Drosophila melanogaster: one gene and its partner. The protein of the gene in region 2 interacts with the protein of the main gene of each other region in a pairwise test. Each region holds a gene or a part of one and is shown on either strand. Other genes may lie near its edges. The genes, in order: CG13689 and CG34117.

The links.
Region 1: the proteins of CG34117 (region 2) and CG13689 interact in a two-hybrid assay, tested with the Drosophila melanogaster proteins (one large-scale study listed by BioGRID).

The regions. Positions count from the first base shown.
Region 1 is NT_033779.5:601,212-604,340, forward strand, and holds CG13689 (uncharacterized protein), read left to right. Parts: upstream 1-1,601; 5' UTR 1,602-1,659; coding exon 1,660-1,795; intron 1,796-1,862; coding exon 1,863-2,128; 3' UTR 2,129-2,351; downstream 2,352-3,129.
Region 2 is NT_033777.3:9,398,962-9,401,827, forward strand, and holds CG34117 (uncharacterized protein), read right to left. Parts: upstream 1,093-2,866; 5' UTR 1,036-1,092; intron 980-1,035; 5' UTR 979-979; coding exon 673-978; 3' UTR 609-672; downstream 1-608. Other genes in the region: Or85f (odorant receptor 85f), read left to right, coding at 65-266, 319-474, 537-590; RpL34b (ribosomal protein L34b), read right to left, coding at 1,476-1,917, 1,981-2,045; CG8132 (uncharacterized protein), read left to right, coding at 2,606-2,624, 2,680-2,866.

The DNA of each region.
Region 1 (3,129 bases), on a different chromosome or scaffold from region 2:
TGTAAATTCGAATTTCCGAACTAGTTTACTGGCACCAGCACACGTAGGAACCACTCGAATTAAAATCTTTTTTTGGCTTCGATGCGCGCAAAAAATATGCAAAATAAATGCGGGCAAAAAATCGCTGGCCAAGTCCATTAAAAGGGAATAAGTGCGTGCAAATCCTGGCCGCAGGATGTTTTTCATATTATCAGAACGCATATTACTTCATCGGAAATGAAGAGCTTTCGTTCCCCCCGCTAGTTGCCAAAGTAAACATGTGTGAATTGCTCGGGAAAAGTGAGGGATGATGGGCGGGATGATGGCCATGATATCCATATCTGTATCCGTATCCATAACCATAACCACGCGCCTTTTTCGCTACACTAAAACCGCAATACAAACACACCCACACCCACTTAAGAGAACGGAAAAAAGAACGAGGGGCACAGGATATGTTGGATGGAATGTACTGTGCACCACATTCAAGTTGATCCCCTTGTAAATCTCTAAATTGTTTTATGAACATATTGGCCGGGAAGGTGTAAACCTAATTTTCCTTTATGAACCGGACGAGGCAGGTAAAGTGGAAGTGCATCCATACCCGGACTTTTTGTTCCGGCTCAGCAGGATGCACTCCATATCAATGTGCTCTTTGTTTGGCCGCCTCATTTAAATCGTACCGCTGGCCAATTTGCATTCGCACTACAGCCAAATTGATCCGCCCTAATCCCAGTTTTAGTTTTGGTTCCCGAACTTCTTCTTCGCTACTTCGAGCGACCGACCGATCGACCGAGATTTATAAGCGCGGGATTTGAATTTGCTAGAAAAACAAAACTCCTCTGCCTTTTCCTCAGGCTTTAGCCTTAGCCCTGGTTTGGCTATGTTTCTGGCTGGGATTGGCTTGGATCTGGATTTCGGTCCGATCCGGCTTGGCTTCTGCTCTGGCTTTAACTTTGCGCTTGCCCTTTGCCGGGAAGGTCTGAACCAGAGTTTTGAAGTCAGTCGGTTGACCGGAAAAGGCCTTCAAGGGGTTGGCCGCGAGGGCAGGGAAATATAAGGGTTTTATCATTTAAGAAATGAAGAGATTTTGTTGGAATAAGTAATTCTTCAAAAATGAATAAAATTTCATTTCATTAATTTGCGGCATAATTTCATAATTATTAATTATATAAATTTTGTAATATATTGTATTGATTTTTAAGACAATTTTTTTTAATATGTATCTATGAGATTCTAAGTTAGAAACAATAATTATTATATCTAAAAGTAACATGGTGGCGCCATCTGTTGTTCCCTGAAAGCCCCTGTACTTAATTTCCGGTAACAGTAATAAGACGCCATCTGGAGTTCGCGTTGTTTACAATCTGTACACACACTGGAATTAACAGCTGTTACAGTCCGATAGACGATTATTCACATCACAATCTTAAACTGCTTTTAAAAAGATATTATTTAAAATTATTTACAAAGAAAACAACCAATTGCCAAATCAAAATTATAATGAATCATTATTAAAGCGCTTCATATGAACCAAAATATATAATTCTGTGAAGCGGTCGCTAGATTTCAGTTTCTGGCCACATTTTGGATAATTTGGCAACACTGCAATCTTGTTATTGCTTATGCTGAGAAGTAAACAAAAGGCGACGAATGTTTGTATTTTCCTAATAAAAGCCAATGGAGGATTGGAAATCGGAGGAAATGGCAAGGAAAAGAAACAGGAATAGGAGCAAGCAGCGCAGACGAAGGCAGAAAAGTGAGGGAAAGCCGAAGCCACATACATCTCGAGATCAGTGGAGCAATGTGGCTCAAAGTAACAATAATAGTCATTAATAAGTTTTTTAATAGTGTTAACCATTTAAAATTCCCTGTTATTGTAGTATACCAAAGCCTTTTTGAATGGCACCACAATCATGTTATGAGTCTCTGCCCTGAGGTTAATCCGAATCTGGATCAGGACCTTGAGGATATTCCCAAGGAAACAGGAACGTTTCACTGCCTGGACTACGTGTACGAGAGTTCTTCCGAGGATGAGGAGATCGAACCCATTGACGAGGGCTATCTGAAGTTCCTCGAGGTGACCATTAAGCATCAGCAGGAACTCAGGGATCGAAGAACTGCCCAAACCACCGACTCTTTAGATTAGAATTTTGGTAAAATAGGTTTTTACGCAGATGAAAACTTACAGTTCATTTTTATCTGGTAATGACTTAAAAATGTATCTTACGTAAAATGTTATAATTTAAGCTCAAGTTTATAGGTTTGGTATTTAGTTTTGGTAAGCAGAAAATGTACCTTTTATAGGGGATATTTTTATATGTAGCACTTTGTCTTGAACGTATTAAGTATATAAGATGTTTTGATAACTTAATGTTCATACTTAGCCATTCTAACTGAATGCCTCAAAGGGCTAGAATCAAGACCTGCGTAGGACGAAAAAGCAACTGTACTTTAATTCCCGGAACTCTTCAAGCGGGAGACAAGTGTCTGATATTCTGCTTTTCTCACATGGTTCTCCACTAATGAAGTTGTGCGAAGTTGGCAGTTTTTTGGCCAAAGGAAACGCACATTAACCCGACCAAGACTAATGCGATGTCATTTATAATCGCGCTGGGAGAACCAGAAGAAAGCTTCAAATTGGGGCATGACTAAAAAGGGAGAGGGGCTTTTGGTAGGATGGAGGACCATTTGTGGGTCAGAGACAATGTCTGCTGCTCGTGTGGGCGTGGCAAGTTGGGCATTAGCCAACATTTTTCGGCACTTTTCAGCAGAAAACCTAATTAAGACGTCCGACTCTGAGTGGCAATGGATTTTCTTGGCTTACTTATATCCCCCATCCTCTCTCTCCTGACCAAGCTCCTCCGCCCCACGGAGCTCGTTTCCCACCTGCTCCTCATTCTCCACTGAAATCACGACTGGCGACGACAACTGCGAACGACCTTTCTAATGCCCGGCCACTGCATAAATCATGGCCCAAATGGCGGCCACCTGCAACCGGCAGCAATAGCAGTAAGCCAACAGCAACTGCAAGTGCACTGTAAGAAATCGCATTGCTCGATAGTCCTTTATGCTCACATTTAATTCTCATTACTTCAAAATATGAGTTTCTCCCAGTCCATTTATCTTCGGTGTTCAGAAAACCATTTG
Region 2 (2,866 bases):
TATGCAAGTGATTTACGCCAAATGTTTAGTGATAGTTGAATTTTACGATGAGCACTTTCATCAGTTTGCAAAACGATCTGAATGGTATCTTTGGAAAATCGCTGCTTCTAAGCCTGCTGACCACCGCAGCGGTTATCTGCACGGTGGCGGTGTACACTCTGATTCAGGGTCCCACCTTGGAGGGCTTCACCTATGTGATCTTCATCGGGACTTCTGTGATGCAGGTCTACCTGGTGTGCTATTACGGTCAGCAAGTTCTCGACTTGGTGGGTAATGGCTGAGATCCTTGGTATGCCCACTAACTGAGGTTCTTCGCAGAGCGGCGAGGTGGCCCACGCCGTGTACAATCATGATTTTCACGATGCTTCTATAGCGTACAAGAGGTACCTGCTCATAATCATTATCAGGGCGCAGCAGCCCGTGGAACTTAATGCCATGGGCTACCTGTCCATTTCGCTGGACACCTTTAAACAGGTAAAATGCAAACACCACGTATACTTTATATGACATTATGTGAATTTCGCTTTCAACTGCAGCTGATGAGCGTCTCCTACCGGGTTATAACCATGCTCATGCAGATGATTCAGTAGACAGCAAACACAAGCACGGAGTTTGCAAAATCGGGACGCTTTAATCGCACTACGCTAGTAACTATCTTTCTATATAACTAGATCACTTGGGATCCGAGGGCAGCTTGAAGCCCACCAAATCGGCGGTATCCCTTACGGATCTCTCGCCCCTTCCGTGATATTCCTTGTAGAGCTCCAAGTACCGGCGCTGGCTGGCTAGGTAGGTCAGGTAGGTTTGACCCAGGAAAGTCGCTTCGTTGCGCGCCTTGCAGAATTGTTGTTCCGTGGTGGCGAACTTCTTGTATTGCGCCAAAATGTAGCGCGCGGCCAGAGAGTCCTTGATGCAGCCATTTGGAGATGCCTGGCGCAATTCGTGCAGCAGGGAGCGCAGCACCTTGGTTCCCGCCATTCTAAACACAAAATATTAATTGCATTTGCAAGAAACTATAAACAATCAACGACTTACGTGATTTTTAAGAAAATTCCAATTGCTTCTGCCGAACAGCTGTTCTCAACAGAGTTGCCACCTAGTCATACAATGAATATACAGTGATCACTCTCACAAATTGACACTTTGAAAAATAACACTGGATCTTATTTTTTATAATTATCAATAAATCTGAAAAATCATCAAAAGTTTGACTACGAGCACAGTAAAACTCTGTGACAAACGAAATATTTAAAATTTATTTATTTTAATTATATTATATTCTCACTTTTGAAATCGTTTTGCTATAAATGTCTAAAAGTCGAACGGTCTGATTGGAAAACAAGAACAACCAATAAGTAAAGTACACAATCCAACTGGACTGTCAAACTAAAAATACAAACAGTAAATCCAGTTGGAAAAAACCAATTTATTTTAAAAGTTATTTAGCAGTACACCGAACTCGTTGCGTGGGCTGTTTACTTCCTGGGCTTGCCAGCGGCTGGCTTCTGGCCGGGCTTCTTGCCAGCGGCTCCCTTGGCGCCAGCACCACCCTTGGTGACCTTGCCGGCACCGGCCTTGGTTCCCTTGGCTCCAGCAGCGGGCTTCTTCTTGGGCTCGGGCTTGGCCTTGGGGGCCTTCACCGGCTTGACGAGCGCCTCGCGCTGGCTCTTCAGGGCCTTGACGATCTTCTGCTCCTCGATGAGGAAGGCGCGCACGATACGCTCGCGCAGGCAGCTGTGGCACAGCACTCCACCGTAGGTCCTGGACACGGTCTTCAGGCGCTTGGACATGCGGGGGCGCTCGCTGGGGCGGGAGGGGGTGATACCCTTCAACTTCTCCTTGCACTGGCCGCAACGGGGCACGGTGGGGTTCTTCTTCACATACTGGTAAACCAGACGACCACCGGGCGTGCGAACACTGTAAATTGCAAATGTGCGTTATTTTTCATATTGGTGAGGTGTATTGCAGTTGGATAGTTACATGCGCCGCTTGTTGGAGCGTGTGTTGTAGGACAGGCGTCTCCGGAGCGTCAGACGTTGGACCATTTTGCTGTTGTTGTTGCTGCTTGTCGTGGCGATTCGTGGGTTACATGTGCAAAAGCGGTGAAAATCATTATTAGTTTGGAGTTACACTAGGGTGGGTGCAGTTTGGGCTGCATTTGGTGGTATATTTTCACAATTTTTTCACACATTTCGGCGAATTTGCGTGAAATTGTTAATTGAACACGTGCATACCTCAAAGAGACGAAACTAGAAAGAAAGGTGGCAACCCTGTTCGCGCACGACGTGAACTTGGCTGCGCTGCCCACTGTACGACACTTTCGAGCACTGCAGACCTTGCCAGATTGCCATGAAAACATGGGCTTATGGGGGTTGCAAATTATTTATTTTTTGTTAGAAAAGTTAGGATTTTATACACAATTTAATGCTATATTCTTTTGGTTAAGTATGCTTTGGCTAAGTATATGCGTATTAATATGAGGTTAAATAATGCGTTTTATAAATATTGATCCCTTTTACTACGCCCCTGCGATAACCTGTTGTTGTTTTGCTTGCGATGAAATCTGTTATCAAACCGCGAAAAGATAACATTTAATTGCAGCAATATGAGCAAAACTAGCAACAGTAAGTGTTTCTCAAAATTTCAAAGAGATCCACTTAAATATTTCTTATTTAATAGTCATGCGTTTGGCGCTGCTGCAGCTCAAGGGTTCCAAGGACAAAGTGGCCAATGTCCAAAACGCCGTCACCAAAATCGAGGCGGCGGTCAAGGAGCATAAACCCCGATTGATCACTCTGCCGGAGTGCTTTAATGCTCCATACGGCACCAAGTACTTTCGGGAGTACTCCGAGACCATTCCCGATGG